3 linked regions of the Callithrix jacchus genome follow. The protein of the gene in region 3 interacts with the protein of the main gene of each other region in a biochemical or structural test. Links are inferred from orthologs where the notes say so. Each region holds a gene or a part of one and is shown on either strand. Other genes may lie near its edges.

What was found.
Region 1: the proteins of NFKB1 (region 3) and ELF1 form a complex in vitro, tested with the Homo sapiens proteins (2 studies listed by BioGRID). The link is inferred for Callithrix jacchus from reciprocal best matches to the Homo sapiens genes NFKB1 and ELF1.
Region 2: the proteins of NFKB1 (region 3) and DPF2 form a complex in vitro, tested with the Homo sapiens proteins (2 studies listed by BioGRID). The link is inferred for Callithrix jacchus from reciprocal best matches to the Homo sapiens genes NFKB1 and DPF2.

What each region holds. Positions count from the first base shown.
Region 1 is NC_133506.1:160,139,728-160,143,477, forward strand, and holds the end of ELF1 (ETS-related transcription factor Elf-1), read right to left. Parts: intron 2,258-3,750; coding exon 1,654-2,257; 3' UTR 288-1,653; downstream 1-287.
Region 2 is NC_133511.1:122,417,406-122,421,155, reverse strand, and holds the start of DPF2 (zinc finger protein ubi-d4), read right to left. Parts: upstream 2,582-3,750; 5' UTR 2,540-2,581; coding exon 2,508-2,539; intron 1-2,507. UniProt on the Homo sapiens protein: Plays an active role in transcriptional regulation by binding modified histones H3 and H4. Is a negative regulator of myeloid differentiation of hematopoietic progenitor cells. Might also have a role in the development and maturation of lymphoid cells.
Region 3 is NC_133504.1:94,841,757-94,845,412, forward strand, and holds the start of NFKB1 (nuclear factor NF-kappa-B p105 subunit), read right to left. Parts: upstream 2,944-3,656; 5' UTR 2,487-2,943; intron 2,290-2,486; exon of another isoform or gene 2,097-2,289; intron 1-2,096.

The sequences.
Region 1 (3,750 bases), on a different chromosome or scaffold from region 3:
GTCACACATACACAAAAATAATAAATAAAAACAAAAGTGTGTTTAATATATTGCTGGGAATATTTTATTGTTTTCTCTTTCTAATTTCCGCAACTTGGTAATCCATTGTTTGATTATTAGAAACTGCCATTTGGTCAGGCAGAAAGGAAAAGTGAAAGGATGATATTCTGCAATTCTGACTAATGGAGTTTATTTATAAACATTCAGTAATGCTATAAATACTAGCGGTGTGCTCTATACACCTATTCTTTCAAGAAACTTTTGCCTGAAAACAGAAACACTGAGAATTTTTACATGATTTATTTAATAATAAACCAATTAAAGATACAAAAATGTTTAGATTCCAAAATTTAAATTTTTGTTTAAATACAAATTCACTCTGTAATATGAAAACATAACATTAGACCTCTAAAGATAATTTTTTTTCATCTACAAAAATTTCTGTTATACTTAGAAAATTTGCAGAAGACCATTTTTCTTGTGACATTAAATGTACATTATCTACAGTTGAAAAAGTAATGTAAAAACATTTCATTTCAGAAACTTGGATATATGTTATCTCTGTATGCAACCCCCCAAGTCTACCCCCAGTAAAAAACAATCCAAAATATAAAGCAATTGTGCTTTTATAACTGACTACTCAGCCTGATTAGCCTAAGGCTCGAGTTGCTTTCTTGGCCCTTCAGAGTCCTGACTCTCTCAAAATAGCAGTATTCTGCTTAGCACTTAGCAATGTGAGTTTGCTAATGGACCGCAAATGGCACGGTGGTCTAGGGTTACTAAACCAACTACTTCGGAAGAATTTACGGCTGATTTACCCATAGCAGATGAAGAAATTTTGTTAAGCCACTCATTTTTCTGCAACATTTTAGCTATTTTTACATTAGAAAATAACCTGATGTTTTAATTGACATAACTTGAAAATATAGCTATTAGAATTAAAAAAATTAGAACTAGAAGAGAAAGTGGAGATCGTCTAGTCTAGTCCAATACATTGCCTCCTTTTATGAGAAGAACTAAGGCCCCAAAAGGTCAAGGGGACACAGCTGGTTAGTGGGAGTGCCATTCTTAGGCAGACGCTTCCATACTGCCCTGCTTCTGCAACCGGTCAGCCACACCAGCGGCACCTCCAATTTTTCACGTCATTTTACATATTCATAGTTCATATAGTGCAGCCAACTAAAGTCAGTCTAAGTGACATCACAATTTTAACAAAGCATAAAATAGGTTTTTTCTATTTGAAAGAGTCAAGACTTTACTTATACAAATGGAATGAAAATAGTTCCTATATAAATTTCCTGTTGCCTCATATTTAAGTTCTGTATTTACAAAAGAATCAGAAAACCTAATACAATGTAAAATTAGAAAAGAAACTTCGAAAATGCTTATGATATAGCAACTGAAAAAGAGATCTCAAAAGAATGTCTTCATAGTGTAAAATGCCTGTTCCTTCACAATTGAATTCTGAAACATTTAGAGAACAAAGATTAACACTTGAGTTTTCCTCCCTCATCTATTAAAGTCAAAATTAACTCTATTTTTAACAATTACAAAAGTAGGAACCTCAGTAGAATTTATCTTAGAATCAATCAGTTTGCATACAATTGAAATGTTCAATTAAAAACCAATTATTCATAAGCTTTGGTAGATTAACTAAAAAGAGTTGGGGTCCAGCAGTTCATTTTGTTTCATAGCTACCTGAGAAGTAAATCCATTAGAACTGGACACAACCATCACGTAAGGCTGTGGCTGCTGCTCTGTTTTCTCAGTGTCCTCTTTCAAATGATCTTCAGACTCCTTTTTCTCTACTTCCTGTGTAAGAGTTTTTGTTTCTTGAGTTTTGATAACTGAAGTGATTACAGTGCCAGGTGGGTGAGCAACCAGCTGTGAACTGCGCGGAGAAAAGGTCACCACAGGTGCAGTGGCACTGAAGGATGGAGATGAGGCCATACTGACGGTTCCGTTGCAAATGGTCTGAACATTGCTAGTAAGGACCTGCTGCACCTGGGCAGGGCCCAGGACAATCGAAGGAGGAGAGCCCGCCTTCTGTGACTGCAGCACGACATTCTCTTTCAGTACTGTCACGGGCTGTGATGACGGAATGGCTTGTAAAATAAACTTCTGAGAGCCGGTACCTGCTGATGGGTCTGTGCTGGCTATCACTGTCGTCAGCGGCACTGTCTGCAGTGTCACTGTATGCAACTGCTGGTTTCTAGGAGACACAACCACTGGAACTTGGGTCGGAGCCTGTATAGTCCTATTGAGATTATGAAATTAAAGTGAGACAATTAGCATATTCTACGTCATTTAAAACTTTACACTTGACAAGTCATTTTACAAAACACCAGTTACACGTTTCAAAATGCTACTTCCTATATTTTCAACACAGCATGACCAACGTCGTGCCAGACTCTGCATTAAACATTACACACAGAGATGCCTGACACGAAACTCTCAGGCCATCAACTACGGTACCATCTGCTGAGTGCTATGGAAGAAAGGTCTGTGCATAGTGCCACATTAACACAAACGAGGAGCCCATTTTGTTGGGGAAGGAGGAGGGTGTTAAAATGGTCGGCAAGGAAGTTTGCATAAGCTTCTTAAAATTAGGAATTTGAAAGCAAATCTGTTTGATTCATTCCAATTTTTTTTTTTGAGATGGAGTTTTACTCTTGTTGCCCAGGCTAGAGTGCAGTGGTGTGATCTCAGCTAACTGCAACCTCCACCTCCCGGGTTCAAGCCATTCATTCTCCTGCTGGCCTCCCAAGTAGCTGAGACTACAGGCATGTGCCACCATGCCTGGTTGATTTTCGTATTTTTAATTGAGATGGGGTTTTGCCATGTTGGTCAGGCTGGTCTCAAAGTCCTGACCTCAGGTGATCCACCCACCTCGGCCTCCCAAGTGCTGAGATTATAGGCATGAGCCACTGTGCCCAGCCTACTATTTTAATATTTGAGAGATAATGTTATCGTCATGCTCATCCACACTAATTCCCAAACTTCATAATTGTTTTCAACCTGTTTTTACATATAAAGGGGGGAAATCCTTAATTAATGAAAACAAAAAACCCACTTCAGTCTTAAACATGTGACAGAATTCTTAGAATTTTACTAGCTCACATTTCATGTCATATTTTATTTATTTTTTTTTTATAAAGGGGTTTCACCATGTTGGTCAGGCTGGTCTTGAACTCCCAACCTCAAGTAATCTGCCCGCCTTGGCCTCCAAAGTACTTGGATTACAGGCATGAGCCACCATGCCCGGCCTCATGTCATATTTATATGAAACAAGCCATGATTATAATTAACCTGTGAGGGTTCTTGGGCTGGCATGGCTAAGTTTTGGAAAAATAAATAGAAAAAACATGTTTTAGCAGTTTTGCAGGTTCAAATAATTTTCACAAATTTGGTTATAAAGCTACAGTTTAATATAAAATGCTTTAATGCAAAATCTAGTTAATGTAGGTTGTTAATCCCACTCATTGAAGAAAGAGAAAGTTACGTAAATGATACTATGAGTCAATCTAATTTTAAAAGTTCACAGGTCTGAAATTTATAGTTACGGTTATTGTTAATATAGTATAAAAAATGCCACTGAAAAATCTCAGCATCTGAATGGCAGCTGTTTCCTCTGAATTCTGTAAAGTTATTTAATGAAAGATACTTGCTATTTCAAACAGCTAACAGCTAAATTAGTCTCCATAAACCAAGCATTAAATATTACCACTAGATTATTAAAGCTACATTTTG
Region 2 (3,750 bases), on a different chromosome or scaffold from region 3:
GAGATGGAGTCTCACCATGTTGGCCAGGCTGGTCTTGAACTCCTGACCTCAAGCGATCCACCCACCTTGGCCTCCCCAAGTGTTGGGATAACAGGCGTGAGCCACCCTGCTCAGCCAAGATTTTTATTTCTGACATCACATTTGGAAGGGACAGAAATTTACAAATAAGAAAATTCTTCTCCCAGGACAAGATGCAAGTCAGAAAGTTGAGTGGCTGGGTGCGGTGACTCATGCCTGTAATCCTAGCATTTTATGAGGCTGAGACCCGTGGATCACCTCTGAGGTCAGGAGTTCAAGACCAGCCCGGCCAACATGTTGAAACCCGCTGGGTGTGGTGGTGGGTTGCCTTTCAGCTATTCAGGAGGCTGAGGCAGGATAATTGCTGGAACCTGGGAGGCTGAGGTTGCAGTGAGCCGAGATGGTGTCACTGCACTCCATCCTGGGCTGACAACAGCAAGACTCTGTCTCAAAAAAATAAAAGAAAATATGAGCTAGTGGTCCCGACCTCAGTGTATAATATCAACTGTCAGAAGACTAGGCACACTATAATCAAGAGAAGTGCCAGAAAAGCATCTCTTTCCAATGAACTGGAAGAATGGAAGCCCTTGTTAAAGGGATCATTCTGCAGGAGTACGTATTAACTGTGGTCTGAGGCCCTGTACAGCCAGAAATGAGGAGAAAGTTGGTTTCTCATTACTGGCATTCAGGAATTAGTGGCAGGTGAAACAATCTCTATAGTTTTTCCAAGAGAAATCAGAAGTCATGCGGTTTAAATGGGAACCCCTCACTTATGACACAACTTGAAAGCACTGGCAACCCTATCTCCCTGAGGAAAGTCTTCCAACACAAAAAGCCCCACTACGTTTAACTCTCAAAACATAGGCAAGTCTGATATTCCTCCAGTACAAGGGGAATCTTTCTTTTTATTTTTGGAGAAACCCGTGTAAAACATCCCCTTCCAATGGGATAAGGGAAGTCAACAAAGACGCAGGGAAACAAAGAACATCTCAGCCAGGAAGGATAACCGGTATACAAACAGTGTCATTTCTAAATTGAGAAAAATGTCAGCCTCAAGAGAGCTGCGAAACTGGAGTGGGCAGATCAGAGAGAAAGACAATAGTGTTGGGAGGAGGGTGGCTGAAAGAGACAGGATAGATCAGAAAGCAAGTTAAATGAAACACACACACACACACACACACACACACACACACGAGGAGGAAAGGCACTTAGCTTAATGGAAGTGGGAAAGCATTCTCAAAGAAAAGGCTTCAGGGCATGAGGGAGAAGCAGTTTACTCTTTAAAAAGGCTCTTAGGAAGAGTGGGGCTCAGCCCACGATAAAGACGGATGAAAAGCGGTGAGTCCCTTAGAACAGCTAGCGAACCTCTACTTTGTCATTCAGTCAAAATCCAACAGCCCTGACTGGACAGCTAGACATCCTCAATTTTCCCACCCTTCCACTGTCATTCAGTCAAAATCCAACAGCCCTGACTGGACAGCTAGACATCCTCAATTTTCCCACTCTTCCACTGTCATTCATTCCGTCAAAATCCAACAGCCCTGACTGGACAGCTAGACATCCTCAATTTTCCCACCCTTCCACCAAGCCCAACGTACCCATTAAAAGAAGCTCTATTCGCCTAGGGGGCATTAACCCAGTCCAAAACTCGTTCTCATTCTTCTGTAGGAATTAATCAAGTCCCAAAGCATCTTTAACTGACAGGAAGCAGTTCATAGGCCAGTGTCCATGGCCCCAACAAATACTAACTTTAACTCTGCTTGATATCTGGCCAGCACAATGGTACCGTGAAATAGGAAGAATACCCATCTGGATGTCCCTTTAGGCTACTGAGCTGTCCTGAACGGCTTCGGTCCAGCCGCAGGTTTTTGATGGCTGCTTCTGGACTGCGCCAAGGCCCGCTCCCCTGAAGTTCCTTCCCTTCTTGTATCCGCTCTTCGACAAATTCTTCCCAAGAATATTTGCAGTCTTAGGTGCCCGCCACCCAAGATCCTCCCAAACGTCACGGGGCCGCTCGGAACTAAAACATCCAGCCCCGCAGTGCACCCCACTGGGGCCGCCGACCCTGTTGCTGCAGCGGACGGGACGGGACCGGGCGGTTTGGGCGGCGGACTCGCCAGGGGCCGCCCGGGCCTCAGCCCCGCTCCTCGGGACTGAGGCGTCTGGGGAGAGGACCGGGACCGTGAGTCTCGCGCGCAGGCAGGGCGCCATGCTCTAGAAACCGTCAGCCCCGAGGAACGCTCAGGCTACACAGCCCCGCAGGGAGGCCGCCCGTCGAGGCTCCAGTGTGCCCCCATCAGGGCCTCCACAAGTTTCCAAAGAAGCGCAACGTCTTCTCCAGAGTCTCCTGTTGCCCTCCCCACCAGGAGTCGCAACACGATCTTGCCGGGCATGTCCCTCTCTCCGTCTCATCTCTTCCCGCACGGCCCCCTCCTCCCAGGCCCTTTACAAAACCTGCCGCCCTAGGAGAGAAAGAAACGACCACTCACAGCTTCACGACATTCTCCACCACAGCCGCCATCTTCCCTGCTCCTCTCCCTCGGGCCGGGAGGCCCCAGAGTCCGCAGCGCGCAGGCGCCGGGACCACACGGGGGCACCAGGTTCCTCGCCCTCTGCGCAGGCGCCGCCCGGGCGCGCGCACGAGAGCGAGTACTGAAGAAAGCTCTACGCTTGTCTGCGGGGGCCGGGAAGGAAACGCGTGAGACCGCACGGGAGACCGATGCGCAGGCGAAACCGGAGACTGGCATGCGTCCCGGAGCTCGGTTGGAGGCGGGCCGCCTCTTCTATCTAGAAGAGGTGGGGCAGGGCGAGGTGGCTCACGCCTGTAATCCCAGCACTTTGGGAGGCCAAGGCCCGTGGATCGGTTGGGCTCAGGAGTTCGAGACCAGTCTGGCCAACATGGTGAAACCCTGCCTTTACTAAAAATAGAAAAATTAGCCGGGCATGATGTCAGGTGCCTGTAATCCCAGCTACTTGGGAGGCTGAGGGGGAGAATCCTTTGAACCCGGGAAGGCGGAGGTTGCAGTGAACTGGGATTGCACCATTGCACTCCTGCCTGGGCTACAGAGCGAGACCCCACCTTAAAAAAAAAAGAGCTGGAGGAGGCCCGTCGCGGTGGCTCCCAGCACTTTGGGTGGCGGAGGCCGGAGGATTGCTTTGAGCTCAGGAGTTTGAGACCAGCCTGGGAAACTTAGGGAGTCCTCGTCTCTACTAAAAATTAAAAAATTACCCGGGTGTGGTGGCATGTGCCTGTGGCCCCAGCTACTCAAGATGCTGAGGTGACCAGATCGCTTGAGCACAGGAGGGTAGAAGCTGAGTGAGCCGTAATCGCACCACTGCACTCCAGCCTGGGCGACAAAGCGAACCTTGTGTCAAAAAAAATAAACAAACAAAAACCCCAGCACAGTCGACCTTCACTATCACCTCTTTTCAGTCTTTCAAAGCAAATAGTACTCCCTGTCTCTGTTGCCTTGTTTCCAAGTCCCCCTTCCACCCAATTGGTTCCCACCTGTTCACTTGAACTAGCTCCTGTAACCCTGACCTCCCTTTCAGCAGATTTAGAGATGTCTTCTCTGTCCTCATGGGCCTGTCAACCCCATGACACTGTTGGCCACTCTGCTTTTCAAACTCTTCTGCAGATCTTTGAGACGCCACCCCCTCCCGGTTGTCCTACCCCACTGGCAGTTCCTTCCAGTCTCTTCCTCTGCTCAGCCTCTAACTGTCAGAATCCTC
Region 3 (3,656 bases):
CCAGATATGCTTCCTACTGCAGTCAATTCTATGCTCAGAATAGCACATCTACTAAGACTTGAAGATGAAAAAGATGACATTTTTGAGTACTTTATAAAAAATCTATATAGCAACTCAGACACAATTATGTTACTGTTTGAAAAATCAACTACTCGTCTTACTTCTCCCAAGTTCAAACCAACTGAAGGTTATGAAGCAACCACTTCCCCCAAAAGCCAGAACTTTCACCTCCTCTGAACAGAGAAATACCTCTCATAAATTAGGTAAAAATAAGGTCTTGCTGATGGAAGGATCATCCAAGATTCATGTAGCTGTCAATTCCCTATCTCTCCCACAATGTGCAATCCCTGAAAGTCAAGGTAGTAACTTACTCCATCAATTATCTGCAAGTCTAAAAGTGTGGTTAAAGCAACCTGCATAAATATTAGTTTCTCAAATTAGTTCAATTTGTTTCCAGGAACAGTAACAAGAGAAATGTAAGGAATATGATCACTAAATATAAAATTCTGCCAATTTCAGATTAATTTGCTTTAATCAACTCAACCATCACAGATCTTGTTTAAGAGGTAGAGTAAAAAGGAAGTGCAAAGATCAAAGCAATGCTTACAAAGGGGAAGGGGAAGGACTATTTTTGCAATGTATACCCCCATATTTACTACCTGGGTTTGAAAAACAGGGGCATTTACTCAGCACAAGTGAGTACCAATGCAGAACATAAGAAATTTCAAAAAAAAAAAAAAAGATAATAAGATTTTTAAATCACCAGCAACCCAGGATTATACTGTTTTCTTTAAAAAGTCTCTAAGAGTTTAAGTGGTTTTTTCACTGCAAGCAGCAGTATTAAGCATACATATAACGTGTTCCTTTGTGTTCAAGTTTGTCCAGCAGGCTGTAGCCCAGGAAGACATTTTATCTAAACAAGCAGGGGAGGCTATTTAGGAATTGCAGGTATATCAATATGGATGAATAATCTCAGATTTCATGTCTCCATTAATCGTATAAGCTCTTTTCGTTTTAGCAATTCAATTAAATCATGAATGTAAAATTCTACAAGGAACAGATCTTTTTACTTCCTGCTTTCCCAAGTTTATAAACTAAAAAAAGTACTCTGCTTCAAATTTAAATACATAATTCCCATAGTGCCTCAAACAGTAAAAGGATTCACCTCTAGAAAGCACAGTATTATAATTAGGAAAAAAAAACATACTTCAGTTTTAAGTTTCCCTTTTAAAGTTTTAACAAACAGGAATGCACTTTAAACTGCTTGATAATATTCAGTTGTCGGATTCTGCTAGAAAAAACGTATGGAACATCATGACCCCAACCTTTAGTATTTACTAAAGATCACCAGTGTGTAGAAGAATATTTTGATGCCAGAGCTAGTCAATGTTTTAGTAATACCATAAGCATTTTCTCAGATTATGAGCTTTATAACAAAATCTTTAGGTTAAATACAGTTAGTTCATAAACTGTAATGCTGAAAACCTCTACTTAACAGAGTACATGAAAATGTCTTGAATCTTGATAATTAAATCCTGTATCATTAAGTCCCATTTGAGTTTCAGGATAGACCAGTAAGCCAGGGCAAACATCCCCTGGTGTATATGTTTTTAAAGACCATAGGAAAACTTACATTTAGGTTAGGCATTGTTTTTACATTATTTTTTGTTTTGGAGGTCATGCACAATGCATGGTGACTCTGTCCAAGAGTTTTACATAATCAAGTCTAAAAAGTGCTCTAAGTATGCAAGTGACTATATCGTGTGTGTGGTGGGTTGGGGGGTGGGGGGCAGGGGGAGAGGGAGGGCGGGAGGGAGGGGGGAGGGAGAGAGAGAGACAGAGAGAGAGAGAGGAAGGGAGGGAGGGACAGCCTTCCTTTAGAAGTAGGAGAGGGATGAATAGACTCTCCTATTCAATTCTGGGGAGCTGGAGAGGGCTTTCCCAGCCAAAAGGACTGACAAGGACTTCTGCTTTCATTTCATGGAACGCCCTTAGGTGAAATCTGGTTCTGCACTGCACCAACCACCTTCCCTCTCTCCTCCGCGCCGCAGCGCACCTCAACCTTCTCACCATCCCCCAGCTGCGGCTGGGGGTGGGGATTTTAAAAGTTTGTAAGAGTTCCCCACCGGTTAGCGTTCCCGCCCCGCGGAGGGACGTGAATAGAAATGACCGCCCGGGGGCCACGGCCCTTCGGCCGAGTAGCCCCCTGCAAGGTCCGGATGCGCCGAGGACGTGAAGAGGAATGACCGCCCGGCGGCCGCGGCCCTTCGGCCGACTAGCCCCTGCGAGGTCCGGATGTGCCTTTCCCCGCTGTCTCCAATCCCTTGTGCCTCTCAGCTACTGTCAACCTTCTCCCACGGTCTAGCCCAGCGGTTAGCGCAGGAATAAGGAAGTCCGAGTGGGGCTGGAGGGGTGCGGAGGGCTGGGTGGTGGGACTCGGGCCACGCGTACCCTGCCGGGTCCCCACTCGCCCGAGTTTGGCTTACCCGGGTGGCGAGTCAGCGTTCGGCTTCCTGTCGCGGGTGGGCTCTCCCTCCCGGGCGGCGCGGGCCTAAGAGCTGGAGAAGGAAGAGGCGGCGGCCGGCCGGAGCCCGAGCGGGCCCGGGTGCGGGTCGGGGCGAGCGAGAGCGCAGCGGGGCCAGGCTGGGCCAGTCAGCGCCGCGCCATGTCCGCAGCGCGGGCGGAGGGAAGCGCAGGGCGCGCTGTGGCCGGGCGGCGGCGCGCCTTCCTGGCCGAGCGGCTGCGGCCTCGGCGGCGCTGGGCTCCGGGAGCCGGGCCGGCGGCGGCGTGCAGGCCGAGGGCGGCGGCGGCTGGCGGCCAGACCGACGGGAAGGGCAGGGGAAGCTGTCAGCGCGTCGCCGGGCCGCTCCGGTGGCGAAACCTCCTCTTCCTGCCCCGGCTCGCTGGTGCACTTCTCTCTCTTTCTCTGTCGCTCACTCTCTCACTTCCTGGCTGGAAATTCCCACTGACGTCGAGAGAGCATACAGACAGACTGACACACGCGCGCACGCAGCGGGGGCGGGAGGTGGGGTCGCTGGCGGGGGTGGGGGAAGCCCGCATTTATGGGGGCGCCCTGCGCCCCAGGCCCGGCCTGGCTTCTGGGCTCGGCTCCCGCCCCTCGGGGCCGCTTCGGGGCGCCGGGCGAGGGGCGCGCGTTAGGAGGCCAGGACGCCCCGGTACCCTGCAGGGCTCTGGCTTCCCAGCCAGGCGCTCCCGAACCCCGAGGGCTGGAGCCGGTAGGGACGCCCCCAGAAAGCGCCTGCTGGGCCTGATGGTCTAGGAACGCAGGCGGCGCGGAGGCGGCGGCGGCGGCGGTGCAGCTGATAGAGTCATGCGGTCCAGAGACCCTAAGGGCAGGCCCGAGCAGCTGGAGGGTCGGCATGGATCCAAGCATGCCAGATATAAAAATAAAGCTCATCTGTATATTCCATTTAAGTGTGTCTCAGTTACACTCAAATCTCTTCGCAGATTAAACTAGAATTTAGATATCATAACCGACTTGTGTCAAGTGAAGTAACCTCTACTGGTTTTGGTGCAGTCTTAAATCTGGTTAGGACACTTACTCAGAACATTCATCTACCAGATATTGTTAGGCTTTTATGATAATTACTGTGGATAGAATCATAGTGATGGTGGTAGGAATGCATTTGATCTGA